Macaca mulatta: one gene and its partners. The protein of the gene in region 1 purifies or fractionates together with the protein of each later gene. This does not show direct contact. Links are inferred from orthologs where the notes say so. Each region holds a gene or a part of one and is shown in the gene's direction. Other genes may lie near its edges. The genes, in order: SDC2, CAMKV, AMPD2 and PDPK1.

What was found.
Region 2: the proteins of SDC2 (region 1) and CAMKV purify together in Homo sapiens (affinity purification with mass spectrometry; 3 studies listed by BioGRID and IntAct, counting the BioPlex papers as one, with this or other methods). This does not show direct contact. The link is inferred for Macaca mulatta from reciprocal best matches to the Homo sapiens genes SDC2 and CAMKV.
Region 3: the proteins of SDC2 (region 1) and AMPD2 purify together in Homo sapiens (co-immunoprecipitation; 3 studies listed by BioGRID and IntAct, counting the BioPlex papers as one, with this or other methods). This does not show direct contact. The link is inferred for Macaca mulatta from reciprocal best matches to the Homo sapiens genes SDC2 and AMPD2.
Region 4: the proteins of SDC2 (region 1) and PDPK1 purify together in Homo sapiens (affinity purification with mass spectrometry; 4 studies listed by BioGRID and IntAct, counting the BioPlex papers as one, with this or other methods). This does not show direct contact. The link is inferred for Macaca mulatta from reciprocal best matches to the Homo sapiens genes SDC2 and PDPK1.

What each region holds. Positions count from the first base shown.
Region 1 is NC_133413.1:107,002,572-107,009,401, forward strand, and holds part of SDC2 (syndecan-2 precursor), read left to right. Parts: intron 1-4,449; coding exon 4,450-4,585; intron 4,586-5,506; coding exon 5,507-5,670; 3' UTR 5,671-6,830. UniProt on the Homo sapiens protein: Cell surface proteoglycan which regulates dendritic arbor morphogenesis.
Region 2 is NC_133407.1:113,342,994-113,350,380, reverse strand, and holds the start of CAMKV (caM kinase-like vesicle-associated protein), read left to right. Parts: upstream 1-3,532; 5' UTR 3,533-3,714; intron 3,715-4,020; exon of another isoform or gene 4,021-4,094; intron 4,095-7,387. UniProt on the Homo sapiens protein: Does not appear to have detectable kinase activity.
Region 3 is NC_133406.1:130,580,906-130,588,381, reverse strand, and holds the start of AMPD2 (AMP deaminase 2), read left to right. Parts: upstream 1-3,131; 5' UTR 3,132-3,568; coding exon of another isoform or gene 3,569-3,578; intron 3,579-4,060; 5' UTR 4,061-4,314; coding exon 4,315-4,567; intron 4,568-7,284; exon of another isoform or gene 7,285-7,380; intron 7,381-7,476. UniProt on the Homo sapiens protein: AMP deaminase plays a critical role in energy metabolism. Catalyzes the deamination of AMP to IMP and plays an important role in the purine nucleotide cycle.
Region 4 is NC_133425.1:3,776,760-3,784,169, forward strand, and holds the start of PDPK1 (3-phosphoinositide-dependent protein kinase 1), read left to right. Parts: upstream 1-2,377; 5' UTR 2,378-2,469; coding exon 2,470-2,493; exon of another isoform or gene 2,494-2,524; intron 2,525-3,447; exon of another isoform or gene 3,448-4,052; intron 4,053-5,960; exon of another isoform or gene 5,961-6,495; intron 6,496-7,410. UniProt on the Homo sapiens protein: Serine/threonine kinase which acts as a master kinase, phosphorylating and activating a subgroup of the AGC family of protein kinases.

The sequences.
Region 1 (6,830 bases):
TAGACTTCGCAGTCAGTGCAGGGGTAACAGACGGCTTATGAAAACTCAGAAGCACAAGCATCCCCTTTTGGAGCTCACCCATCTGTTGATTAGAAATGAGATGCTGCCAAGCTTTAGCAGCAGACAGGATATGGATATGGAAGGCTGTTTGATGAAGGTGGCGACAGGCCTTCCTTAGAGTAAGAATCATCCCCTCTTCAGGCAGGAATGCATGTGGGCTTTTCTTACCCTTGCCCCAGAGTACCTTTGTTCTTCCTCCTCTTCCTCCATCCTCCCAGTGCATGTGACTGGAATGGTGAATGGCACAGCTGGACAGGTCTCCACAAATGTGGAACAGCCAGGAAGCCAGCCCTGTCCAAATTGAAGTACTCTCTGTAGGACCAAGAAGAGTCAATTACTGTTAGTGGTAGACTTCACAGGCCAGGCAGTAGGAAGGCAGGGAGAGAGCCCTATGAGAACTGAGAGCGACTCACCTGGCATATGCTGGATCCCTGCATAGAAGCTACTGTATCAATGTATAGTTGAGTGAATGAAACAAAAAAAGAAAGGGAGAAATGAAAAGTATAGGTGCAGTTGGTGTTAGGATGACTGAATGCCTCAGAGTGTGTGTGGCACAGTTATCTGCTATCTACTAAATATGCATTTGGCTCTTACCACATTTTTATTTGACCACTTCTCTTGACTAAATCTGTTGAAGTCAGAGACAATTAGGACTCACTAGCTTGAGGGAAGAAACTCTCCTGGGTGAGTTTTGGCTTGTAGTGATAGAGAGTTGTATCCTAAGCAAGACTTAATTTGACATAGAGTTCTGGTTTGTTAACAAGAATGAATTGACCACTAATTTAAGTTTTTAAAAATTGGTTTTAAGAAAGTAATTGCATCAGATCGAGATAAAAAATATAGAACTTTGGCAGGTGAACTTAAAAATTAAGGAGCCCAAACTATTTTAATACTTTTATATTCTTACTATCATTTGTGTTCTATGTAGTAATAATAAAAATTCATCCATTTATGGAAGATTTATTGAGTGCTATCATTATGTGTCGAACACTGTTCACAGCACTGATAATGATAATATTGATCATGAATAACATGAATAATGATGATTAAATTTTTCATTTTGGTCTTTATGTGGTACAGCCGAATTGAACATTGCCTCTAGGATACCATTAGTGTAGATTTTGCTTTTGAATCGGTCTCACAGTGGCATTAATGTCACTGTTACAGATATCCTCTCTAGTTTGTTATAAATTTAAGTGACTAAAATGCAAAAAAAGCCATCTCATTATTTGTTTGAGCAGAGCATCACTCATAAGCTTTTACTTCTGTTCCATTTCCATGGCATCCAAACAACCAGACATGGATGTGGCAGATCTTTACTTGGCCTCATTTAATCATCCCTGCTGCCTTTTTGCAGATTGATTTTGCACATATATTCATACAAGAGTTAAGGTATTTCAGATTAGTTCCATATTACAAAATGGTTTCTTCTTAGTCAAGCCTCTGCCTCTATACGATAAAACATTTCGACTTGAAAAATGAATTTTCCACCCAGAGCTGCTTGAGGCTTGTGCACTTCCAGCTGCAGGGCGGCTCCAGTTATGTGGAGTCCTTCAGTCCCCATACTCTCAGATCCCTGGATTGCACGCTTTGTTCAGCCTGCCGGATCAGAAGCTGAGTCAGAGGAAACTGAAAAGATCAACTCTCTTAAATGACTTTAGGGACCCAAAAATCCCATGGTGAAACCATATGATTTGTAATAACAATGGAACAAAGATGATGTGGATATGGATAAATTAAACTCAGTCTCTCATATTACAGTGACTGCTTATGTCCATTTCATTTCTCACCAGAACTTGTTTACCTCTCTCCTTAGTCACAAACCTGAGTATTCACCTATTTGATATTTCTCTTCCCTTTTCTAACCTGTGATAGTAAAGCAGTACTAATGAGCAGTGAAAAGGTTTCTAGACTAGAACCCAGATAATCCATTCTCTGATCTGTTGTCCGTCCTTCCACCAGGCAGCCAATTAATGATGGGCTTTTCATGAGAAGAATAGAAAAAAATCAGGAAAAATACTGCCAATGTGCTGCTCTCTTCTGCTTTACTTTGGTACCCGAAGGCCTGGGAAGGCCTATCATAATTTTCTTCTCTCATAGTAATAGAGAGGACCGTGACCTTTTCAGTGCATATTGTGCACCAGTGCAATGAACATTTTTCTATGGCCTCTGCTTTTTGTAAAGCATAGGAGGTTGAGGTTTAGATAGTACAGAGTTTCTTGCAACTTGAGAACGACAATTACTCTTTATTGTACTTTATTACATACCACCTTCAGTGGAAGCCTAGCTTTCTGCTCACTGAGACAGGGACCTACTGATCTTACATACCCTAGAGTACAAATGAATCCACCTGGTCTAGCTTATGGTCCTTCCTAGCAATGAGGGTGGCCTTAAGGTGCAGAAAAGAAGTGTGATGTCGTCAGGGTCCCACAGGAGCTACTTGCACAGCCCAAGAAGGTGAGGTCTTTTCTTCTTACACTCTTTAAGCCTCTAGACTTAACTAGCAGGCCGCCATTTTGGATGAACTCTAGCCTTCAGAAAGCAATCAGTTGCTTTGCTGAGCCATGGTATGTTAGACTCTGTGGATCCTAATGAAGATGGTAGGAAGCTCTCAGGAACTTATGAAGAGTAGTAGAGCTGAGGATTATTGTCTGCAGTCTTTTTTTTTGAGACAGGGTCTCACTCTGTCACTCAGGCTAGAATGCAGTGGCACAATTATAGCTCACCCCAGCCTCCAACTCCTGGGATCAAGAGATCCTCCACAGGTACACAGCACCATGCCTGGCTAATTTAAAAAATGTTTTTGTAGAGATGAGGTCTAAGCATGTTGCCCAGGTTGGTCTTGAATGATCCTCTCACCTCAGGCTCCCTACCCAGCCACATTTAGTCTTAAACCTCAATGAAGTTGACAGTGTTTTCATCAGTGATGTTGGCCAACAAGAACTTCAGACTGTTAGAGAATGAACAACTCCTTTGAATGGGACTTCTCTAACCCACTGGTTCTCAAACTATAGAATTGTCTGGAGAACTTAAATAGCAATAAAAATCAGTGCCAGCTACATAGTGCCCTGTACAGCTCAGAAGTGAAGGAGTAAGGAGAATTGGGACAGTGCTGTTGGATTGGAGCAGTCAGAGGGAGATGGTGACCTGAAGTCAGACCAATTGAAATGGAACCTCTGGTAGGAGGCCTGTATTTTTTTCATAGAAAGATTGGGGACCACTGAACTACAGCACAGATGTTAAGAATCATTTTTGATGATGAAGAGGTGGTGGAAATGGCCTCACAGGGTTTTCTGCTGGGAGTAAGTGGTGGATTGGGTGAGGACTGGAAGCTACCCAACACGTACAGTTCTGAGGTCGAAGCAGGATGGGAGCTGGGGTGTGATGTGCTGGCCACCTTAACAAAGCTGTGGAAATGAGACCCCAAGGGAAGAAGTTAATGTGAGAGCAAGATGGAGGCAAATTGACAGTGCTGTGACATGGATAACATATGATAAGAAATGCGTCGAAATAGATAACTTGGGAACACCCCAAAATACAGCGCCATTAATGGGAATAGAAAAGAAGGCTGATCCGATTCAGCAGTGAATTAATTACTACTTAGACTTGACGAGTAGAGTTAAAGGTGGTACAGCCAACAGTTAATGTCCTGCAGGCTGCTGACTTCTTGGGAATAATGCTGACTAGAGATGGCGGCTGTGAGAGGTAGATTTCTACTTGAGCATTGTGCAGTGTCTGAGACCCTGTGAGTGTTGTTCATTAGACAGGTGAGGAAATCCAGGTGGAGAAAAGAAGTATGATATGATCAGGGAGGAGCTACTTGCACAACCCAAGTCCCCGGAAGTCCTGGTCCAGGGTTTGCTGAAGGTGATATGACTAGGGGGAAGCATTAGGAGTAAGGCTTGGGGGTTGCTCCCTGCAGAGTGGGGACAGGAAAAGCCCAGTCAGGCATGAGAGAATATCTGAAAGGGAGCTGTTGTCATCGTGCCCTGTGTAGTTGAGAAGTGAAGGAGTAAGGAGAACTGGGGCAGTGCTGTTGGGTTAGAGCAGTCGGAGGGAGATGGTGACCCGAAGTTAGAAGAGTGGTGAGAAAGTAGAGATCTTAGGAAATGTCCACTAAAACAACCTCACCATGTCCTTAGCATTATTATGAACTCACTAGCTCTCTGACTTGCCTGATCATGTGATGGGTGTTACGCAAAACCATGAACTACATGGGTCCATCATGACACTCACCCATTGCTATAAACATCACACAAGTGTTTATTCCAACTATTTCCTAAACTCATTCTTTGGGGAAAAAAAAGGAATTTTGGAGTATACTCATTATTTCTTCCTTCCAGCACATTTTCTTAAATCAGTGTAATCTTTCCCTGTTTCCCATACCAGTCACCTGAAGAAACTGATAAAGAGAAAGTTCACCTCTCTGACTCAGAAAGGAAAATGGACCCATCTGAAGAAGATACAAATGTGTATACTGAGAAACACTCAGACAGTCTGTTTAAACGGACAGAAGTCCTAGCAGGTGAGTATCCTGGTGGGTGTCAGGTGGGAGGGTGCCTGTATAGGCTTCTGTTAGTCTAAGTGATATTCAGAAGTGCAGCAAAGCTTGCTGTCACCTTTCTGCTGAAAGCAGTCTTGCGGATGCTTGCTTCTACAGCGAGAAGCAAGAGGCTCAGCAAACATTGTCTTTATTGTCCACCAGCTCCCTCAACCTACCCCTTCACCAGCCATCGTGCAGGGGATGGGAGGTAGCCTAAAAGAGGGAAAGTTAACATCTGAATTGATCCAGAACAACTGGATGTAGAGAGATGGCAGAGTGTGAAGATCCATCAGTCTTGCTCGAAGGCGTTCCACATTTCAAAATAAAGAGAAGGAAAAGTTCTTTAGGGGGAAGGCAGTTCACATATGTACTGCCCAAGGTGTTAAGAACGTTATTTCTATTTTAACTTAATTGGATGGAAGTGCACATATTTTAAAGGGGAAAATTTTCAAGATTTAGGAACACTTGATAGTCTCAAGTCCAAGAATAGAAATAAATTTGCATGCTTTTTTCATATATACTCTTTAAAATTTTAAGTCAATTACACTGTTTTGTGTTGAAAAAAGCAATTAGAAAATTAGAATATGAAATGTGAGTTCTGAAAAGACAAAAGTAGTTTTCAAGTATGGAATGAGTGAAGATCAAGGCCAGCTTTTTCTTATTGAGGTTTTTGGGTGGTATTGTTAACACTAACCAAAGAAATTACTGTACCTTCCTGAGGAGTTTGAGATTTGCATAGTTACCAGGTTGCTTCATTGAATCTAGTTTTTTTTGTTTTTTTTTTTATTGGGGTTTTCAAATTAAGCCTTTTAGAAAAATGTAAGCAGATTGGGCTTGACAATAAAGCTAACGTCTGCAACCCTTGAATCTCTTCTAAAGTCATTTTCCTTTTGATTGTTTCAGCTGTCATTGCTGGTGGAGTTATTGGCTTTCTCTTTGCAATTTTTCTTATCCTGCTGTTGGTGTATCGCATGAGAAAGAAGGATGAAGGAAGCTATGACCTTGGAGAACGCAAACCATCCAGTGCTGCTTACCAGAAGGCACCTACTAAGGAGTTTTATGCTTAAAACTCCAACTTAGTGTCTCTATTTATGAGATCACTGAACTTTTCAAAATAAAGCTTTTGCATAGAATAATGAAGATCTTTGTTTTTTGTTTTTTTCATTAAAGAGCCATTCTGGCACTTTAATGATAAAATCCCATTGTATTTAAAACATTTCATGTATTTCTTTAGAACAACATAAAATTTAACATCTGCAGTGTTCTGTGAATAGCAGTGGCAAAATATTATGTTATGAAAACCCTCGATGTTCATGGAATTGGTTTAAACTTTTATGCGCAAATACAAAATGATTGTCTTTTTCCTATGACTCAATGATGAAAGCTGTTTCATTTGTGTCAGCATGTCTCAGATTAACCTTACCAAGTTGGTCTTACTTTGTTAATTTATCTGTTGTCGCCCTCCTCTCCTCTGCCCTCCCTTCTTGTGCCCTTAAAACCAAACCCTATGCCTTTTGTAGCTGTCATGGTGCAATTTGTCTTTGGAAAATTCAGATAATGGTAATTTAGTGTATATGTGATTTTCAAATATGTAAACTTTAACTTCCACTTTGTATAAATTTTTAAGTGTCAGACTATCCATTTTACACTTGCTTTATTTTTCATTACCTGTAGCTTTGGGCAGATTTGCAACAGCAAATTAATGTGTAAAATTGGATTATTACTACAAAACTGTTTAGTCATATCTATCTAATCAGATCTTCTTTTGGGAGGATTTGATGTAAGTTACTGACAAGCCTCAGCAAACCCAAAGATGCTAACAGTATTTTAAGAAGTTGCTGCAGATTCCTTTGGCCACTGTATTTGTTAATTTCTTGCAATTTGAAGGTACGAGTAGAGGTTTAAAGAAAAATAAGTTTTTGTTCTTAAAAATGCATTTAAGTTGTAAACGTCTTTTTAAGCCTTTGAAGTGCCTCTGATTCTATGTAACTTGTTGCAGACTGGTGTTAATGAGTATATATAACAGTTTAAAAAAAAGTTGGTATTTTATAAGCACAGACAATTCTAATGGTAACTTTTGTAGTCTTATGAATAGACATAAATTGTAATTTGGGAACATAAAAACTACTGAATAAATCATGTGGCCTAATATTGAAAATGTCACTGTTATAAATTTTGTACATTTTTGATCAAATGTACATCTCCCCTTTGCTAACGGCCGTCTGCT
Region 2 (7,387 bases), on another chromosome or scaffold:
TGAGTGGCTTCCCCGAGCGCCTGAGACAGGAGCTGGGCCCTGGTGCCGCTGTGCTGGGGTCTCCCCACCGTGCAGTTGCTGCCTGGCTTGGGGGCTCCATCATGGCATCCCGCAGCTCCTTCCAGAACCTGTGGCTCAGCCGCCGGGAGTATGAGGAAGAGGGCCCATGGGCTATCTATAAGTACCAGCTGTAAGCAGATAAAAGTTCTGGTTCTGCTTGCTTTAAGTGCCGTGGCATGTTTCAGCCACAGGGTGGTGTGGGAAAAGCAGGAGTCCAGGCATGGGGTCATGGATAGGGGCCCTGGCTCTCCCAAGGCATGCTCTGCCTCTGCACTCTGGAACTCCATGGGCCCTGGCAACCTACCCTTTCTAGACAGCCCTGGAGCCCCTTGACTGGCATTGGCTCTGATCTGGTCTGACCTTTACTACACCCCAAGGGCAACCACAGAGAGTGGCTGCTGTGGGTTTTGCCCCGTTGCCCTGACGACAAGTGCAATTACCCTTGATTGCCAGCTTGTTGCCATGGCAATTTCAAACATAATGTAATAACCCACACAGCCTGGAGTGAGTCACAGGGTGGGGGGCGGGGAGGTAGCCCCCTCCCCTGGCTCCAGAGGAAAAGACTGCTTGCCTTCCCTATTGTGGGCCCTCTTCTAGGGGCTGAAGCCAAGCAACATGGACAACAGTCAGGCAGTTTCAAAGATGGCTGGGAGCCTGGGGCGGGAGGGTTCTGTCAGAGTTCAGGCTTCTTGGGAGAGCTGCACTGGTAATCTAGGTACCTCCTACAGTCTGAACCTTTGCTGGAGCTCTATGCTGGGTTAGCAGGGGCTTCTATCAGCCAGCCAGAATCTAAGGGCATGGGAGTGCTGGCCTTTGGTACCCTAGGGCAAGGAGTTGGGGGCGCAGATAAGTCCTGAATCCTGGGTAGGGCGCCCAACCTGAGCTGGGGGATGAAGTTCTGTGGATACTGAGGCTCACACCTTATTATGCCACTCGGACTTTCTAGCTTTGGTGGGAGCCAGAACTATGAACTTGGGCCCTCTTCTCCTCCTCAGCCTCCCAACCCAGGCAGCCCCTGTCTTCAGGGAACAGGCCTCCTTAGGAGTATCCTCATAAAGGCTACTAGGCAATGCCAATCTCAATTGCCTCTGCTCTTCTTCCAAACTGTGCTCTGTGCTAAAGGACTTCCTGCCATCCCTCTGGCCAGTGGAGTGGTAAGAAATCATGTCCCCTGACCCCATCTGGCTTTGAATAGTAGAAGTAAGAACAAAGCTCAGCATTGGTCCAGTCCCTGCCCTGGAAGAGCTAAGAGGATGGCATTCAGCTGGTGTTACTATCTCCTGCCTGAAAGGCAGCTGGAGGTGAAGCCAAAACATTGAAGCCGGTCCTACCCTGCCTGTGCCTTCCTGTCTGCGGGCTGAGGGATAAGCCATGGCTCAATCCTAGCCTTGGGTTCTTGTCTTCAGATTGCCCTCCACAAATGGCAAAGACTTGTCTATCTTCACATACACCAGAGATCAAGGGGCTGCTCTGGTGGGGAGCCTGAAAACAACCAATGATGTAGGGTCAGCACAGACCCTGCCCGCCCCTGGACATGGTCCAGCCCCCTTCCCATGTCCGGCTCTCAAAGCCTGATTCAGTCTCCACAATCCTGAGACTTGTGTCAGGCAGGAAGGGGACTGACAACTCCAGGGACCAGCTACAGAGTCCACACACACGTGCCAGCAAGCATGCCTGGGTGCACAAAGAATGCAGACACACGTGCCCCTGGGCACCATTGCATACACTATGCTGTTGCATCTCCCTCGGCAAAAGACAGCATACACACACGTACACGTGTGCACACACACCCTGCCACGTGCTCTCACCCACATGCACAGAGCGTGCTTAGGACCAAGAAGAGGTGGAGTACTGCCAGCAGCAGGCAGGGCGCTAAGAAGCCACCCCTTCCCCTGCCTAAACATCCCCATTCCAGCTTCTCCTTGACCCCATGCCTGGATAGCCATGACCCTCAGGAAAGACAGAAAACAAGTGTGTGGCATGTGTGGGGTCAGCAAGCCACAGCTTGGCTACACCATAAAACTCAGAGACCCATTGTTTCAAGAATAGTGGGCAGATGGCAGGAAGGACTCAGTGCCAGGCCATTCATTCACTCTGCAGACATCAGCCGAGCATACTGATATGAGAAACGGGTTCTGCCTTGCAGATACCCAGCCTGCCAGGAGATTCCTACCCAGTGGTGGGGTGGATCCCATAACCCGAGACCACTCAGAACCCAGGGACCCCAGAAGTGGCACCAGCCTGGCCCAGAGGAGGTAACCCCAAGCCAGGGAGGAATGTGAAGGGCTCAGTACCCACTCTGGAGGAAAATTTTGAGGAACCTTGTTTGAGGCGGTCATTTCCTAAGCTAGCCTTCCAGTCTGAGCCCCAGCCCCAGCTTCTGGACTTGGACAGTCCCTCCTGTCATCGGCCATGGGTGGCCATGCAGGGGAGCCTCAAGATGGCTGAGGGTTTGGGGATGACCCCAACTCCCTCTCCCACAGCAGGGTCAGGAGGCTTGCTGGGAGGAGTGGGGTGGGATAAAGCCCAGCTCCAGACACTGAGAGGCCTGAGTCTGGCTTTCAGATACTGGCCTTAGGATGGTCCTCAGGGCTTGTGAGGGGTGTGGGTCAGGCTTTGGGTCCATGAGCCTCACTGACAAGGGACAGAGAAATGGCCAAGGACTTCCTTCAAAGCTTCCTCCTGGTGGTTCTGAGCCTCCTCCCTCTGATTAGCGCCCAGGCCGGGTGAGATACCTTGGTGCCACAGTTCTCCTGTGTCCCTATATCCCAGGCCAGGCCACCTAGAGTGATGCTAGTCATGAAGTGTTTGAGAGTGATTAGACTGAAAAGAAAGCAGAGGCCACACCATGTCACAGGTGACTTTTATAGTTTGGGAAATTTGGTGCCATACAGGAGGGGGCTGACTGTGCCAGTCACCCTTGCTGGGGCTTATGGTTGGGAAAGACTGGCCTTGCAGGAGTTGGGGGTGGGGTGGGATAGGAGACTTTGCTTCCAGAGTCTAGGGCACTCACTGTTTTCACACTGACTACCTGCAAACAGACACCTCTGTGTATTAACTGCTCCTAGCTAGGGGATGCCAGTCTGTAGGGGAGCCTGCCCTAGCCCGACTGCCCATCTGGTTTTTCTAAGTTGGTCCTGCCTTTTGGGTCGGGTTCGGGGAGCTGGGCAAAGCCCCGGTTCCCTAGAGACTAATGGCTGGCAAGCGATCCTATGCAGCTCAAGGACTCAGGCTTTCCCCCAACTCTCCACTCCCCACCCCTTACATTGGGCATAGGAGGCCCCCTCCGACCCCAGGCTGAGGGCCTAAGGAAGCCGTTGAGAACCTTAGCCAGGGCTAAGCAGGCCAGTGCTCACCAGCACCGCTGCCATCCCGCGCGAGCCTGCTCTCCAGTGGGATTCTGCCCTTAAGGCTCCGCCAGGGTCGGGGCGGGGCCGGTTGGGAGGCCCCGCCCCCAGCCCGCCCCCGGCCCGGGGTGCGAATCCGGTGCCGGCAAGCGGCTGGCGATGCTAGAGGTTCGCTAGCCGAAGCGGCTGCATCTGGCGCCGCGTCTGCCCCGCGTGCTCGGAGCGGATTCTACCCGCCGTCCCCGGAGCCCTCGGCGCCCCGCTGAGCCCGCGATCACTTCCTCCGTGTGACCAACCGGCGCTGCAGGTGCGGGGCTGGCCGGGCTGGGGGCGCTTCCCGAACTCACGTTGTGGGGCCTTGGGGGATTGGTTCCCTGGCTCGAGGTTCGGGATGCAGAGTGCGCGGGGGCGCAGTGAGGGCTCGAGGTCCTGGCGGGGTCAGAGCGCGCGGGCTTTGCAGATTTGGGGGACGGAGTGCGGGGTCGGGCTAAAGTTCCCCATTACCTCGGACGGCTTGGGGATCCTGGGGGGAAGCCTCTGCGGCTCGGAATTATGAAAAGATTAACCCTCGAAGATTCGTGGTCCCCCGTGAGGATAGGGGCCGAGAGCTGAGCCGTCCCTCCCCGTTCCCAGAGCCGCCTCCAGCCCCTCCCAACTGTCCCCGGGCCCCTTCCCTCCAGCTTAGCAGTCACTAATTTCCATGACAACGGAGAGTTCTTTATGGGCGACAACCCGGAGGGGGCTGGGCGGGGCTGCCGCGGAGTGGGGGAGGAAGCTCCAAGCCCCTGGGGACCAGCAGCCCCCCAGCCAAAATTCCGCTTCTAAGCCTTCACCTGGGGGCTAGCCGGGGGTCCAGTGCATGGACCCACGTGCACGGTGGGGGTGGGGGCGCACATGTTCCTGCTGGGAGGTGCGGGGCTTGGTGCTCACACGTGTGCTTTCCGCATGTGTGTTGCTGTGCCAGCGGGGGCGAGCCAGCAGCACTTGGGAAGGGGGTCAGGGTGGCACCACGGTGGGGAGCAGGGCCCCTGGCAGGAGGTGGCTGGGATAGTGACAGCGTGAGCTTCTGCCTTCCCCAGCTTGTACTGTCTGGCAGAGACCCTGGGCTCTTGAGCCCCAGCCCCCTCCCCGTGTAGCTCTGCCAAATTGCTTTTGTCCTCACCTCCCAGGCAGAGCCTGCTCCACCAGGTTCCTTCCTAAGGATCAGGGCCCTCTGTCCCACACTAAAAGCTCAGAGTCTGCAGTAGTCCAGTTCCTGTGCTGTACTCCCCTTACCCCCAAGTCCAGGCTTTGAGCCCCCAGGACTACCTTCAGAGACCTGGTGCCCTCCCCCACCCTCAGAGTTGATTCCTGGCAGCTCCAGCGACTTCTGAGCCTCAGTTTCCTCAACTGGGAAATTGGTGTCTCCACTCCCCTCAAGGTCAGGTTGGTTTCCAGGGTGGGGCAAGGGTCTCCCTTTTCTAATACAGTATTTGGTGCGGACCCTTCAGGTGTCCCTCCTAGGCTGGCTGTTCACATATCTCTGATGGCCTTACTCTCCAGCCCCATGCCCTGGCCACCATTCACAGGCAAGCAAGCAAGCAGTGGCAAGCAAGCAGTCCTCTGCCCTGGGAGAAGGCCAGATTCCATGGTTTCTATTTGGGGAAACTGAGGCATGGGGAGGGGAAGGGCTGTGCAGTTATTCTGTTTCTGGGTTGCTTGTGATGCCATTTCTGGCATTCATGGCAGGATCTGCTGTTGGGGGTGGTGAGAGGGGATTAAGCAGAGCTGTAAGAGGGGCTCTGGGGACCCAAAGCCTGGAGAGGATAGCAGATGGGGGAGGGGTTGGCTGGGAGGGTCTAGGTACAGCTGGGCCAACTGAGAAGAGGGACTATAAAGGGAAGCAACTAGGCATCCAAGCCTCATTTCCATCCCCCTATGCGTCTGCCTTCAACATGTTGGACCTGCTTTACCTAAGCTGCCGTGATGGCAGAGAGATGGGCTGGGAACTGTCCTGACTGGGGGGCTGTAGCAGCTGGCCTCTTCCTCACCAAGATGCTCCAAGGAGCTGGCCTCCTTTTGGCTGTGCCTCCTATGCCAAGTTCAGTGTATGTTTGGGGGATACAGGAGGGTGCAAGCTGGAAGGTCCAGGTACCATGGATAGCTCCTGGCCCAGCGATTTAGAGCACATAGCCATGGAGGCCTTAGGGCTCTGCTGGGCACCCATCCGTCCCCTTCAGAACTCCTGTCCACCTCCCCTTTCCTGCCCTTTGTGCCTGTGTCCCTTTTACTTTGTCATCTCCTTGCTCCTCTTCCATCACAGGTTCTGTCTTTGTCTGTGTCTCTGCCCCATTCTCTTTTTTCTAAATTCTCTCAATCTCCCCACCTCCTCTTTATTGATGGGGACCTGGGTCACAGAACCTTGAAGAAGGAGCCAGGCTAAAGTCTCAGGGAATTCTTGAAGAAGGGACCTAACCAACACATCTCCCCTCCCCCTCCCCTTGTTTTAAAACTTCCATCACCATAGCAACCCTTTACTCTAGTGCCTTCCTCTGCATTTCCCCTCCTCCACCCACAGGGAAGCAGAGCCTCCAGTGGATTCTCCTTCAGGGGTTCAGAGATTTGGACCCCAAGTGCTTGGGAGGAGACAGCTGACCTTTGCCTCTGCCTGCATGTTGAGAGCCAAACTTTCAGGACGTAGCACTGGACTGCATGCCCACCCCCAAGATTGGAGAGACCTCCCCACAATACTCCTTCATTAGATGGGCAAAATTCAGCTGTAGGAACTTCTACCATGATTTAGCTGGAGCCTGAGGCTCAGTCAGGGCAGCCCCTTGACCAGTCCCCTGAAGCAATTGGATGGTGGTCTAGAAGCTTGGCCCTTGTTCCTAATAGACCTTGAGTGAGGTCTTCAGCTCCCCTGTTCCTGTGGGTGACACCTCAGCTGTGAGTTAGGCAGGGCTTGGGCTTCAGCATGTTCATTGCAGCAGGAAATCCAGCCCCAGTCCTTGAGAGAGTAGAGCAGCAGAGAGTAGGGGGTGCCTGCAGGCTGGTGTTCACAGCTACCACTAAATTGGGAGGTGCTGCCTACAGTTGTTGGGAGGCAGCTGGAGGCCTCTTGGGCCTCTCCTGGCCTCCCTAGATTTACTGCAAACTCTGGAGTCCCACATGGCAGGGGACCAAGGTAGCAGGAAAGTCTGTTTATGTCTATGACAGGTAGGGCCTGAACCAGGATGATCTCAGTGGAGGAGGGGACAGGACCCCAATGTGGGGCCTCTGGACCTCTTGGCCTTTGTTTTGTTTGGGCTTTCCCTGGGTCAGACTTACCTAAAGATGCAGTAGAGTCCTTGGGGGACCATTTGTCACCAGGGCAGCAACAGAGGACCCCTCAGGATTGCTGGAGGCTCAACTCCCTGAGCCCAGTGGTCGGGCCCTGGGAGCAGGCTGTAACTGGGGAGTGCTTGGCTGTCAGGCTCCCTGAGAGCCAGCTGGAGGGCAGTGGCAGCACCAGGGCCTGCACTCCCCACAAGCTCCCTTTGGGCAGCCCGCAGTGCATACTGTTCAGTTCCTCTGCAGAGAGTGGAGGGAGCCATGTCTCTAGGGAAATGACTGTTGTGGGGCTCCCGTGCCCTTCCATGGCCTAAGTGTACCTGAGGAAAAGCTCAGGTCCTGTGTTGCTGAGAGGAGAGCTCTCCATTGTTGGGTGTTGGGTCTGGGCCATGGGGGTGAGAAATGCACACCCCTTCCACCTGGCCTCCTCCCTTTCTGAGAGCTGTCCCTAGACTGTTCCTCCCAGTTCTCCTTTGTTGCAAGCAGGTGCCCAGGGCTTGGTGCACACACCGGAAGCCTCCCAGGGAGCAACAGTGGATAGCAGATGGTGGAGTGGGGGTGGGCAGAGGGAACCAGGGTGCTAATTGAAAGCCAGGCCCCTCTTTCTCCTCTCCTTGCCCTGGGGCCAAGTCCGGGGCCCCAAGCCAGTATAGTTAGACTGGTGAGGAGGA
Region 3 (7,476 bases), on another chromosome or scaffold:
ACACAGCTGACTGTCTGACAAGTTTTATGGCAGAAGAAAGAAAAGGGTGATTGTGAAATGAACAGACTTTCCACAGAGAAGCAGAACAACAGTGGAAATGGGAGATTAGTGTTTTGGGGAAAGGAAAGAGCATGAGAAAACAGGTAGAGGTACAAGGTACAAGGTGTGCTCAGAGAAGACCTGGACTTTGATGTGACTGGACTGGAGTGAAAGGTGCACGGAGTGGAGGGCTGGGAGGTGAAGATAAGGACAAGAAAGGGAAATTGGAGCCAGCCAGTGAAGCGCCTTCAATGGCAAGGGGTTTGGCTAAAATCCACTGGGGTCTTATAAACAAGTACAGATGGAAACAGCTGCATGGTGCTATAAACACAATGCTGGGTGACTGAGGTGGGTGGTAGAGGGAGCTGGCTGCTAGGAGAAGCTAAGAAAGCAGAGCTGAACAGCTTGTTTCTAGAAGGGCCTAGGCATAAGGTATGGTTTGGGAAATTGCCCTGGCCAAGGACCTTTTTGGAGATGCAGATATTCTCTCCCAAGTTTAGTATCTGTGAAGATTGTTCTGGCCTAGCTAGGGAGGCTGACATCACAGTGAGCTGAAGTCCAGAAGTAAAGAAAAGCAGTTCTTCAGAGAAACAGGAGTGCACCATCGTTAGGGAGCTGGGATTCCAGGAGGGTCAGTTAAGGAGCCATGTGGGGAACAGGCTAGGAGGGGAGGAAGCTGTGTTTGGAGCTAGGGAAGATCCCAGAGGCTCAAAAGCAATGTTAAGGCCTCAGTGTGAAAAAAGCCCAGGCCATAGGATGACTCAGGCCTTTATTTCCCAAGCTCTATTCTGCATAGACAATGAAACCTCACTGTGATTCTTGCTGGTATTGAGTGGGTGGAGGGACTGATGCTTAACTGTAATCAGGGCCGACTTCCTAGCAGCCACAATACACCAGATGACCTGGAAATAGGGGAGGGTTGTAGAGTGAGGGGTGTGTTGCAGATCGGACTAGGGGACTAGCATAAAGGGACTAATGAACTGGTTTGCCTGGGCTGGGTGGAGGGCAAGGATTGCCACCTATTGGCTGCTGAGGTAGGTAGGTCTGCATTAAGCAGGAGGCTCAAGAGGCCTGGCCCAATGCAAGATACTATCTTTAAAACTATGTCAACATTTGCATCTTATCAGAAGATACATGACATTCTATGTAGTTACATGGTGCTTGATTTTTGAGATTCATTTTATTCATTCTTGAGAGTCCATCAGCCTCAAAATCCCTAAGGGCCCCAAGACCAATTCAGTGGGCCACAAATGTAAACAGAATAGTTTAAGTCTGGGGTTAAGACCCAGGGAAGTCTGGGTTGGGGGGACTGTGGAGTCAATTATGGATTTTTACCGATTTTTGTTGATTTCTAGTCCCTTGATTATAAAAGTTATGGGTATGTATTATAATTTTCAAAATGCAAATAAATAAAATATAACCCATAATTCCACCACTACAGATAATCATTGGTAAACTTGTTGGTGTGTTTCTTTTCTACCCATGTATATCACATAAGTAGGACCATTCTGTATATAGTGTTTTGCATCCATTCTTTTACCTAACTTTATATTGTAAACATTTCCACATCATTAAACATTTCTCCAAGAACAATTTTTAATGGCTGTATTTCATGGTATGAATCTTCCATAAACATTCCCCTACTGTTGGGCCTTTAAAGTGTCTAACTTTCCTATGCAATACACATTGTGGTGCTGAGCAACTTTTTGCATACATATTTTTCTGGCAGCTTTTTTAAGAAAAACTCCAGAAAATTGATTACTGGGTCAAATAATAAGAACCTTTTTGAAACTTTTGATTATATATTACCAGATGGCTTTCAGAGAGATTATATCAGTGTTCAAGGCCACCAGTAATGTGTGTGCACACGTACGTGTGTGTGTGTCTCCCATCTCACTAACTATACCCTTGCCACCTGCATTAGTGTTTGTTTTTTTGTTTTTTAGTCTTTGCTATTTTGATAGGTAAACCTGGTTATCTCTGTTCTCTTTTTAGTTCTATGGATTCTGTGTGAGGTGAAGAGGCCAAGTTTTTTTAAGTTTGTTCAGGGAACAGTAGACAGGGATCAATGGAAGTGGCACCAGATGCAGGTGGAGCACAGGGTTCAAAGTCCAGAATCCAGCGTGGGGAGAGAAGAGGCAGGCAGAGTTTGGGAAGGAACTCTGCTGTGGGGGTGGTGAGAACTGGGAGGAGCCAGACAAACAGCATTAGAACAACTGGGTTTGGGGGGCAAAGGCCTCCCACAAGAGGGAAAATAGGGAAGAGATTAATTCCTGCTAATGCATTTAATTATATTCAGTGAAGTCTTAGGGACTTCCCTCCACAAGTTCCCTTTAGGTCGGATTTTCTACCCCTTGGCAGTGGGGATGCTTGTTGGATAGGATGTCTGCAGACCCCAGAACGGCTGTAAGTGAATCAACCTGTGAGTGTCAATAGAGAACCAAGGCCAAGGCTAAAGCAATGGTAATAATAAAAAAGTGCTAACTACAGGCCAGGCACAGTTCTAAGCAGTTAACTTACATTAACTCATTCATCTTAACCACCATATAAAGCAGGTACTCTTACACTCATTTTACGGAAGAAACAGAAGCACAGAGAAGTTAGGTAACTTGTCCAGTATCAGGAAGTAGGTGAAATCTGGATTTGAACGCAGACATTCTGGCTAGAGTTAAAGCTCTTAACCACCAAATACAGAAATGTGGGAAGGGGAGCCAGAATTGCAGGGCACAGCCTCCTACCTATGCCGGCCGGAAGAAAACAGACGACCAGGTGAGATTGCAGGGGCAGGACTTCTGCTTAAAATGAATCCTGGGACGATAACAACAGCTACCTTTCATTGGGCCCTGACTTCGTGCCAGGCACTAGGTAAAGGGACTTTACGTTTAATCTTCACAGTAACCCCTTTGAGTGAGGTACTGTCATTACCCCATCTTACGGATGAGGAAGCTGACGCACGAAACTGCCCCAAGATCAAGGGTCAGCTCAGGCCAGCCCTACCGCGGTGTGGCGGCTGCCCACGTGGCGCCCAGGAAGAGAAAAAAATGGCGAGGCGGGGTCGGCAGGCGGAGGCGGGGCCAGGCGGGGGCGGGGCCAAGGGCCGCAGAGCCTGGCGCGGAGCCGGCGAGATTTTCGTGGGGTCGCACCTGTTGCGTGACTCCCCCACAGTCCGGCCGCGGGAGTCCGACCCTGAATGCCCAGGGAGTGTTGCGAGAAACCTGGACGAGTTCCGGGTCCCGCTCCCTTGGGAGCACGTGGCCTACCCGTCTCTCGATTGCGATTGCGGGGTTGGGTGGTCGCGACACCGGGGTCGCCTTGAGGCCAGTCTGGCTGCCGAGATCTGCGGGAGTCCACCTCCGGCCAGCTGGCAATTTTGAAAGACTGCCTTACTTTCCCCATCTCAGTGCCAGGGCAGGGGCCCTTGGAGTGACTTGGCCGGAGTCTGGGGCCCGACCACCCTGCCCTCTCTCAGGACCCGGGCTTTCTGCTGTGCAGACCCTCGTGGGCAGCCTCCCCTCGGAACTCGGACACCATGGCTTCAGGTGAGTGTGTGTACGTGTGTTGGAGGGAGGGTCTCTGGGACAGAGAAGTGCTGTGGCCAGGGTGACAAGAGGGTGGGAGTCACAGCACAGCGGCAGGACGTAGGGAAGGCGGTCAGCTCTTCCTACGAGGGCCTGGGGAGCAGAGCCAGAGTGTGCAGAGCCAGAGGAAAAATCCGAAGAGGCTAGGGTCTCTGTCCCAGACCCCCAGACAAGGGGGTCTCCTGGCCTTCCTGCCTTCCTAGGAGGTAGCTATTTGGCGACGGTGGAATTTTCCCAAGACAGGCCCCTCCCTCCTGGGCTGGGATTCTCGGTTCTTCCCCCTCCTCCCAGAGCTGAGCTACCCCCGGAGCTGAGGGTCAGATGTGGAAGGAAAGTGGGTGCTGGGTTTTCACGGAGTATGCCAGCCCTGCCCCGGGAGGACTGTGTTTGAGCTTGGACTCACTCGCTGCTGAATTCCTATTTGTTATTCTTTTTTCTTCCAGACTAGCTGGAAGGACCAGCTAGCCTGGACTTTGGCTTCTTTGCCCTGGAGCCCTGGCATAATGGGGTGAGGGCTCTTGGTGGGTTAGTGGAGAGCTGGGGGCTGGCCCTTCCCCATCTTCTTTTCTACCCACTCCCTCCCCCGCCCCCCGCCAAGCCCAGCCACCATCAGTCACGTCACTCCTGGGACTGAGGAGGGAGGGGAGGGATAGGGGGCAGAGATGGAGGCCCCACTCCCCGAGGTTGCCTAGACAACATGAGAAATCGTGGCCGGGGCCTCTTCCGCCTGCGGAGCCGCTGCTTCCTGCATCAGTCACTCCCGCTGGGGGCGGGGCGGAGGAAGGGGTTGGATGTGGCAGAGCCAGGCCCCAGCCGGTGCCGCTCAGACTCCCCCGCTGTCGCCGCCGTGGTCCCAGCCATGGCATCCTATCCATCTGGCTCTGGCAAGCCCAAGGCCAAATATCCCTTTAAGAAGCGGGCCAGCCTGCAGGCCTCCACTGCAGCTCCAGGTGAGTGTGTGCTTCCTGGCCTCAGGATAGATGCTGGGCTCTGTCTTGCCACCTCTCGCCCAAGCTGCTGGTCCCCTCAGAGGAGGCCACCTCCTCTGGCATCCTCTCTGTGGTGGTGCCTCTTAACCTCAGTCCCAGGGACAGCCGGCTTGGAAGGTGGGGTGAGGGGTGGCCGGGGGTGGGGGTGGATCTGAGATATCTGTGCCAGGGATGCTGTCCTCTGTCACAAGGAGTGGGCATGGTGTGGGTGCAGCAAGAGGTGTGTGTGCACACGTGTCAGCGTGTGCATGTGCTAAGACTGCATGTGGAGCATGTGTGAATGGAGTGGGGGTGTGTGGGACTGTTTTGTGGACTGGCCACTCTGACTGGTGCCTGTGCCTTTACCAGGCAGGCTCAGGCTGTTCTGTGACTAGTTCCACTTTTTAGGACCCCACATCTAGATCCCCCTCACTGGGGGTCTGACATCTGGGCACAACCATTGTTGGCTGGCATCCCACAACTGGGGGCTTGACTGTATCTATCGTTTGCTATTTGCTCGTTCCTTGTCTATGTCATGAGCCTCCTTAGGAGTATGGGGCGTCCTTGGTCAGGTCCGTGCAGGCTTCAGACTGGGGCTGCTGCCCGCACTGCGTGTGCTCCTGCACCCTTTGGTTCGTCTCTCACTCTAGTAAGCATCTCTGCATCATTTGGAGCAGGCAGCGAGGTGCAGCAGCGCCTGTCTCAGTGAGGGCTTGGCTGCCTGGCTCTGTGCTTGCAGAGGGCTGTCTGCCTGCTGTCTGCTCCCAGGCCTTGTGGCTAAGGAAAGACCCACCCTGACTTTGATGACCAGATCATGCTGACTGCCCCCCACCCTTGCAGCTGTCTGTAGCCATAGCCCTACTATCAACCTCCTATATTTTCTTGTTTCATTGAAGATGCCTAGTGCTAGGTCTGTACTGCCCTGAGGGTGTTCTCTGTGCCCAGGTCTGTGCCATCCAGAAAGGGTGTCCCCTGGGTGGGGCCCTCCCTGGCCCTGTTTGGTTCAGCAATAGGGCAACTGATACGGATCTAGCCCAGAACTGGATACCCTTCAGTGGTCAGATGGTAAGAGCATCTGACACTTGTGGGGTCAAAGCCGTGGACACCCCTGTGCCTACTGAGGCAGTCCTGGCAGTGTGTGAGGGGCTCCTGGTCGAGAGGGGAGATGGGGTGCTCAGAATCTCAGAGTTGGTGGGAGTGGCTCTGGAGCGGCCCACTCTGGCTTTTGCTTGACTTCTCTGTAAGTGTGGGTGTATGTGTGTGGTGCTGGCCCCTAGAGAAAGGACCAGTAGGCAGCTGAGTCTTCTAGGCCTGGCCTCTGAGAACGTAGAGGTTACTGCCTGTGTGTCACCTTCAGTGAGCCTGTGGCAGCCCTGGAGAGTGGCCTGGCAGGCTGGGGGGATGGCGTTGGCTGTTGGAATCTGTCCTGCTCACCCCAGAACTGCTGTGGAGCCCCAGACCCCTGTGCTAGGAGAGGGGGTTGAGATTTGGGCCTTTGACTCAACTCCTGCTAACCCAATATGAACTAGCCATGGAGGTCTGTGGTCGGCCTCCCCTAGATGGAGTTAGAAGTGGTCTGGGGCCATATGTAGGGAGGAGGTGTGTAGAATCAGGGTTCTTGGGCAAGAAAAGGTCTTACACTCTGGTGGTGAGGCAGGGTCCCCTCTTTTCTTCCTTTTTCTACTTTGTCCTTTTCCAAGAAAGAGATAGTCACCCCATCTCCACCCCTGCCAAGTTCACTTCACTGCCCTTTACTGGCCTATTGCCTTCACCCTGCCCTGGGCCCAGAGAACCTCCCACTGTCCTCAGTGGGCAGGGCTACAAGTAGGATGTATTTTGAAGGTCCCAGGAGTTCATAATTGCAGGCCTCGCCTCAACACAGAGCCTGGTGTTTTGCAGAACACTTGCAGAGCCATTATCTCTGTGAGCCTTATGGCAGTTGTGGCTAGGCAGGGAAGGGAGCACTTACCGCCCCACTTGTAGATGAGGACCCAAAGCCTTCCATGATAGGTAGAGACATGCCTGGAAGCAGGAACAGAATCAGACCCATGTCCTCCAAATTCTAGCTCCCTTTCTCCCAAACTTATTCTGGACAGTTTGTCCCGTCCCTGATGATAGGCTTGGATCAGGGATTGCAAGTCTAGGGGCCTGTGAACCAGTCCCCTGAGCAGCTGGGCAGCGGGGAAGCCTCAGTGACTGGCCCCTACCTAGACTGGGCCAGTTCCTCAGCTGCCAGTTAGCTTCTTCCCCAGCAAAGGCCCTGTCTCTCCTAAGGGACCCCATAGTCAGGGCCCAGAGGACAGTGGTGAGTACCAAGGCCACTGCCAGGGGAGGCTGACCTGGGGCTGTGGGTGTGGAGATGAGGAGAGCTGTTCCCTTCCTTTTTCTCCCCTCTTACTCTTTGGCCAGCCAGGCCCTGTCCACTGACTGTCCCCTAGGGCAGTGGATTTTAAGGAGGCTTGGCTCCTCCCTGCCGGCCTGCCCTGCCCAAATCAGCCTACCCTGCTACTCCCCCTTAGGAGCCTCACATCTGGCTGGGTCCTCCCTGGCACTGTAGAGGCCCTCTTCAGTTCTGGAGCTCATCTTATCTCCCAACTCTGATGCTCCTTTCCTTGGTTTCTGGGCTCCCTTGAACTCCCCTAGCTCTGTGCTCACGGCCATCTCAGGGTCTCCCCTGCTTGCAGCTGCACTTGGTACAGCCTGTGCCAGCCCCTGAGGGACTGGCTGCAGCTTCACTGGCAAACAGGCGGGCAAGGGGCACAGGGCTGCTGGCTGGAGCTGCCTGCACTGTGCAGGTAGGGTTCAGGCAGGGCCCAGGGTGTGCAGGGGACGGGGTCTTGGATCTGGGGAAGGCCCCTCCCTCTTCCCTTCGTCCAGCTTTGGGACCAGTC
Region 4 (7,410 bases), on another chromosome or scaffold:
ACGCCTCCTGTGTAACCTTCATACCCTTGTGTAACCTTGTTTCACTTTGTAAAACATTTTATTTAAAGTTTTTGTTGTTGTTAGAGACAGGGTCTCACTTTGTTGCCCAGGCTGGTCTCAAACACCTGGCCTCAAGCAGTGCTCCTGCCTCAGCCTCCCAAAGCACACCCGATCTCTTTCTATCAGGGTTGTTGTGTGTGACCAGCAGATGTGTTAGAAGTGATGGTGTGTCACTTCTGAGGTTAGGTCATTAAAGACATGGCAGCTTCTATCTTGCGTGTGTTCTCTTTCTCTTGGGACACTCGCTCTGGGGAAAGCCAGCTGTCGGGGCTTGAAAAAACACACCCCTTTGAAGATGCCCATGTGGTGAGGGACTGAGGCTTCCAGCCCATAGCTGTGGGAATGTGGGAATGAACCTTTTAGGAAGTGCATCTTTCGGCCCTGCTGTAGCCTTTGATGACTCAGCTCTGGCTGCATCTTCATGGCAACTTCACGAGAGCCTGAGGCAGACCACCCAGCCCAGCCTCTCCTGGATTCCAGACCCACAGGAACCATGAGTTAGATGTCTTTGTTGTTTTACACATCTAAGTTTTGGGGCAATTTATTACACAGTAGTAGATAACTAATACACCAGCTGTAGGGCTTTGGGCATGTTCCTTAGCCTCTGCACCCCCATTTCCTCCCTTGTGCCATGAGAGTTGTAGAGGTGAGTGAGGAATGCATAGATGCAGCACAGGGCCACACACATGAGGCAGCTTTCCAGCCCCTCCCGGGATGGTCCTGGTCATCTTCTGGCTCTTCCCTGGATGGACTGTGACCTCACAACATCAGGTCAACTTACTGCATTCTTGGCCTGAGGTCATCCATTGGCCATGGACAGAGGTTCTGGGCAGGAAAGGGTGAGCTAAAGAGAGGGGTCAGTCTCCTTCCTCCAGCCCGGGTCCGGAGAATCGTGCTGGGCCAGGTGAGACATCCACTGTCTGTGTGGTGTCCTGGGATGGGAAGCTGGACGTGACTCAAGGGGAGATTTGTCTCTGTCTCCAGAAGGCAGAGGTGCTTCCCGGTCTCCTTGCCTTGGGCTTGGCCAAGCATTCTGGCTGCCATTGGGGCCCCCAGGACAACTGAGAACTGTCCTTTCTTCACCTTCAGCTGCCCCTCTCCTCTGCCCCCTGGTGCCTGCTCAGATGCTTTCTTCATGGAACAGCGTCCTCCTGACCCCTGGCCCCTGCCGCTGAGGCTCCTCCACCCTGGGCTCCGTGTTCTAGAGTTCACCGTGTGCTAGTTCTTCAAGCTGTTTATTCTTCACTGCTTCCTTTTTCTCTGTGCATTACTCAAGAACTACATGGCCATGTGTCAATATAAAAAAAAAAAAGTTGACTGGGCGTGGTGACTCACGCCTGTAATCCCAGCATTTTGGGAGGCTGAGACAGGCAGATCCCTAGAGTTCGAGACCAGCTGGGTCAACATGGTGAAACCCAGGATCTACAAAAATATACAAAACATTTGCCCGTGCGTGGTGGCACATGCCTGTATTCCCAGCTACTTGGGAGGCTGAGGCAGGAGAATCGCTTGAACCCGGGAGGCGGAAGTTGCAGAGAGCACAGATGGAGCCACTGCACTCCAGCCTGGGCAGCAAAGCAAGACTCCTATCTCAAAAAAAAAAAAAAAAAACCAAAATCAAACCCAAACACTTTTAACTATCATCGACATTAACAACTACAAAGCGCCCGGCTAATTTTATATTTTTAGTAGAGATGGGGTTTCTCCATGTTGGACAGGCTGGCCTGGAACTCCTGACCTCAGTGATCCGCCCGCCTCGGCCTCCCAAAGTGAGCCACCGCGCACGGCCATGAATGTGACTTTATAGCCCAGATTTCCTTCCGTGAACGCTTGTTAGTTGTGAAACTAGCAAAGTTGCACCTCCGAGTTTACATAGAGCCAGCTCCGGAATCCGAGTTCCGGGTTCGAGCACAGCGCCGCCGCTACCTCGGGCGTGACCTTGGTCGGAGCCCGGTCCCCTCTGAGCCTCAGTTTCCCGATCTGGGAGCCCGGAATGACAGCTCGCCCCCTGCCCCGCCCAGCCCCGCCCAGCCCCGCCCCGCAGGCCCTGGGATTGGTTGGTGCGAGGTCCCCCTCCCCAGGTGGGGCCGGGCCTCTCCCGCCTGCTAGGCCCCAACCCGGAAATGCAGCTGGGGCGGAGGCGGGGCCCACTCAGGCCGCGGCGGAGCGACGCTGGGCGCGGCCAATGGGCGCGGGCGGCGGCTGCGGCGCGACGGAAGTCCTGCCCGGCGTCGCGCGGGGGCGGGGCGGCGCCGGGGGCGGCGGGCGGCGGGCGGCGGGCGGCGGGCGGCGGGGCGGGCGCAGGATGAGGGCGGCCATTGCTGGGGCTCCGCTTCGGGGAGGAGGACGCTGAGGAGGCGCCGAGACGCGCAGCGCTGCGGGGGAGGCGCCCGCGCCGACGCGGGGCCCATGGCCAGGACCACCAGCCAGCTGGTGAGCGCGCGGCGGCGGCCTGGGCGCGCCGGTGGCCTGGGCGCGCCGGCTTGTTACCCCGCCGGGTGCGGCGGTCGCCTGGGTCCGGCGAGGCGGGGCGGCCCGGGATCCCCAGGGCCGGGTGCCGCCTCACCTGTAGCCGGGCGGCCGGGCGGGGGATGGCGGGCGCCAGCCGAGGGCGCTGCTCGGCTGCGGCGGGGAGTCCGGGCCTGGGTTGCGGCGGGCGCCGGCCTGGCCGGGGGCGCTGACAGACGCGCGGAGGGCGGGGGAGGCCGGGAGGTGTCACCCGGCCCAGCGGGGTGGAAGTGCCTGGAAAGTTTGTTTTCGGCTCGGCGCAGCCTGGAGTCGAGCCTGCAGGGTTACCTTTCGGTTCTGTCTGTAGAGGAACCGCCCTGGGCTTCCACCTGGAACGGGGTCCCTGGCGTCTCCGCCTGCGAGAGAAGCAGAAGGTGCAAGTTCTTGCTTAAAGCACCTGATGCGCCTGGGCCCCCGTCTCCAGATTCTCGATGACAGTGGTCGGGTAAACTCTCCTTTCACGGCCTGGCCAAGGGGCATTTGGGTGCTTTTCCTGCCCGTGGCTGTGCTCAGCGTTGTGGGAAGCCCCTGGGAGGCCGAATGTGCAGGATCACCGAGGGGAAAGTGAGCTTGACAGGTAGGAGGGATTTTACGGGAAGGACCGAAACAAACCACTTGTTGGGTGAAATGTTTTGCTAAAAGTGTCGCTGGTGTTTCTATATTTTCTTTCTGTCGCTAAAAGTATTCCTCGTGTTTTTATGTTTTCCATATGCTAAGTTCTACAGTCTGGGGACGATGGTTTAAGAATTTATGCCTTGTATGCGATGCGCAGTGGGTGATGGAAGAACGTCTACATAGCTTTAAAATTTGATTTAAAAGGTGAATATTTTAAATGAAGGAAAACTCAAGAAATGTAATTGATCCTTTATCGGATGCGGCTTTTTTTTTTTTTTTTTTTAGATAGAGTCTCGCTCCCGACGCGCAGGATGGAGTGCAGTGATGCGATCCCGGCTCACTGCAACCTCCAACTCCCGGCTTCAAGTGATTCTAGCTGCTGCCTCCCTAGTAACTGGGATTACAGGCGTGTGCCACCATGCCCGACCAATTTTTGTATTTTTAATAGAGATGGTGTTTCGCCATGTTGGCCAGACTGGTCTTGAACTCCTGACCTCAGGTGATCTGCCCGCCTAGTCCTCCCAAAGTGCTAGGATTACAGGCATGAGCCACCGTGCCTGGCAGATGTGGCTTTTTGATAGGCGTGGCTTTTTGATAGGCGTTCTTGATCTTTTTTTATGTGTGTATGGGGGTGTAGTGAGTCTGAGAACCTGAGGAAAGGTATGGGCCCTCTTCCGAGAAAAATGCAGTGCGACACTGAATTTTGTAACTATGTCAGGAGGCTCTTGAACTTTCTGCAGCTCACTTGTGGACTTTGTAGAGATGCGTGATAATCCGAAGTGTTAAGGAAGAATATTCAGTTGAGAAAAATGTCGAAGGGTTGAAAGAGATGCCTTTCGCTATTTCGACTTGTGTGGCTGTACCCCAGAGTGCCCCGGGTAACATAAAAACATGAATTAGGGGCCGGGCGCGGTGGCTCAAGCCTGTAATCCCAGCACTTTGGGAGGCTGAGACGGGCGGATCACGAGGTCAGGAGATCGAGACCATCCTGGCTAACACAATGAAACCCCGTCTCTACTAAAAATACAAAAAAATTAGCCGGGCGAGGTGGCGGGCGCCTGTAGTCCCAGCTACTCGGGAGGCTGAGGCAGGAGAATGGCGTAAACCCGGGAGGCGGAGCTTGCAGTGAGCCGAGATAGCGCCACTGCACTCCAGCCTGGGCGACAGAGCGAGACTCCGTCTCAAAAAAAAAAAAACAAACATGAATTAGGCGGCTTGCTGAGGCTCAGCGGAGGCTGGGGCCGAGAGTCATGTCGAAGTTTGTGAGGTTAACCTGCACCCAGTGACAGTCATGGCGAAGTTTGTAACTCGCACCCAGTAACGCTGTTGCAATGCAAGGTGTATATTTGGTGTCATCCACGGGAAGAGGAAAGAACAAATTTTCTCACGGCCTTGGCAGTTCCACATGGTGGACATTTAGTATCTGCAGTATTCTTCACATAAGGCAGCTTTTTTGTACAAAAACATTAGAATCCAGTGAGCAAGAATGATAGAATACAGGATAGATTTCCACATGAGGAAGTGTCAGGAACGAGGCTTTTGCATCTCTGTCAGCTGGATTTCCACATGTGTACATATGTGAGAACATGCTGTGTTTCCTGTCCATAATGGTGGAGGCAGCCCTAATATTGTATTTTCACTTCAGGGTTGGGGTGGGTTTGCATCTGGACTTTAGGGTGGCCCTGTAGGCCCTGTGTGAGAAGCCCCTGCCCGGTGAACTTTCCCACGTGTGTATGCGTGGACAGCCAACAGAGGGAGCAGTGCGAGCGTGAAGGCAGACAGTGGCCTGGCCCAGTCTGATGCTAAGTGGGCCAGAGGCAGTGAGTACCATTTCTTGAGCTGACTACTTAAGCCAGGCGCTTTCCTAGGTACTTTCACACCTCACTGCAAGGTAGCTGTTGTTCCCATGTTACAGGTGCAGAAGCTGAGCTGCAGAGACGTTAAGTACCTGCCTCATAAGTGGTAGAAACTCCAGTGTCACCCTGCCCCTCACGTTCAGAGCCCCCGAGGGAGGGTCTGCCGGGCAGCTCAGCCCAGCACTCTGTGTAAGGAAGTCTTCAGTGCCACCGTCCAGGATGTCTTCCCGGGGATTGGGCCTGAACGTCTTGACCATGCCTTGCTGGAGACAGGAGGGGTGTCTTCATGTGGATTGACTGTACATATTTCTTTGGCAGATGGCTGAGCTCTGTGACCCCGGGGCCTGTTTCAGCCTCCTGCTGTCAGAAAGCAGCTGTTTGGAAAGAGGCTGTGATTCGGCCTTGTTTCAGGGCCGATACTCTGAATGGGTGAGGCTTGGAATCCTCCCTTTGGAACAAAGAAACATGTAATGATTTTGCTCAAGGTAGAATTGGGGGACTAGGCAGAGTGGGCTCCTGCCCTCCCTAGGGTGGTTCTGTCTTTTGCAAAGGTGGCTGCATCCTTAGGGGAAGGTGAGGGGAGAAGCAGAGAGCATGGAGAGCAGTGGCTTTCGATTTTCTCCCTCCTTTTGGGGAGTTCCTCCTTATGTGGCTGGTCTGGTGCATAGTGTGATGTATCCCTGTTCCCACCGATGCCCCGACAGCCAGTCCAAGCTGAGTCCAGAGTTGGCAAGGTGAGGTCCCAGTAGTAAGAGGGAAGTGGTTTGTTTGGCTCTTCTGAGATGTGTTTTATGAGAAAGATCCAGCAGCAGCCTGCAGAGATGTGGGGCCTGAAAAGAGGCCTTGGGCAGGTCTTCTCAGCAGGCCTTGGCCCTCTAGACTGCATTCAGCACAGTTTTGGGGAGGAACAGGGAGCGTTCCCTTTTTTTTTCTTTTTTCTTTTTTTTTTTTTTGAGGTGGAGTCTCTCGCTCTATTGCTCAGGCTGGAGCGCAGTGGTGCGATCTCCGCTCACTGCAAGTTCTGCCTCCTGGATTCACACCATTCTCCTGCCTCGGCCTCCCAAGTAGCTGAGACTACAGGTGCCCGCCACCTCACCCGGCTAATTTTTTGTGTATTCGGTAGAGATGGGGGTTCCCCTTGTTAGCCAGGATGGTCTCGATCTCCTGACCTCGTGATCCGCCCACCTTGGCCTCCCTAAGTGCTAGGATTACCAGTGTGAGCCACTGTGCCCAGCCTAGTGTGCTGGAGTGCAGTGGCACGTCCTCGGCTCACTGCAAGCTCCGCCTCTTGGGTTCACGCCATTCTCCTGCCTCAGCCTCCCAAGTAGCTGGGACTACAGGCGCCCACCACGCCTGGCGAATTTTTTGTATTTTTAGTAGAGATGGGGTTTCACCGTGTTAGCCAGAATGGTCTTGATCTCCTGACCTCGTGATCCACCCACCTCGGCCTCCCAAAGTGCAGGGATTACAGGCATGAGCCACCGTGCCCAGCAGTGGTCCCTTTTCAATCTATACATTCATCCCCTGAGCCGCCTGACCCAGGGTTTAGATGCTTCAGAGCAAGTGATTGACACGGGTGGGAGATGGAGTCCAGCAAGCAGATGATGAACTGGGAAGCGCTGCAGAAATGAGGGGGCGAGCATGGCCAGTCCCTTCTGAGAGAATGTGTTTGGAAGAGAGTGGGCACTGGCGTGGCACTTTCCCCCTCTGAAGAGGCATCTTCTGTGGAAATGGACTTGGACAGGATGCCACATGGTACAGCAGTTCTGTGGGGGGCAGGTTGTGGCTGCGGAGAAGCACTGGGTGCAGAAACAGTCCCCCGAGCAGGTGCGAGGGCTAGGGTGCTGTGTGCTGCTCCACGCCTGCCGTGCGGTGACAGGTGGCCAACGGGCTGCCCAGCACAGTTGTTTAGAAAGCAGGTTCAAAGGGCAGTGTGCTGGGAGGAAGTGCTGGTGTGGAAACTGCAAGTTTTGGACATGTATTGCTCAGGTCTTTTCAGCCGTGCCTCCTTCTATAACAGAATTGCATTATTCACTTGCTCAGTGTGACATCATGTCCTTTAAAAAATATTTGAAAATTGAGAACAGGTTGTATGTTCCGTCTCTAGCTGTTAGATCACACGCAGGGCACATTTTCTCAAAGAGTAACGAGACATGGGTTCTGTGTGTTCTCTTCTCTCTTAGCGAGGAGAAAGCCCTGTTTGGGTTCATGATGCTTGTTGGGGGGGGTCTCTTTTCTGTACCTGATGTTCGTTGCACAAAGTCTGTTTCCATTCTCTTAGTCTAGAAAATTTTCCTGATATTTCAACTGGAATTTTTGCTCCAACAAATTCCAGGTCATTTAGAATGTGTTATGATTGAGTTTCTGGGCC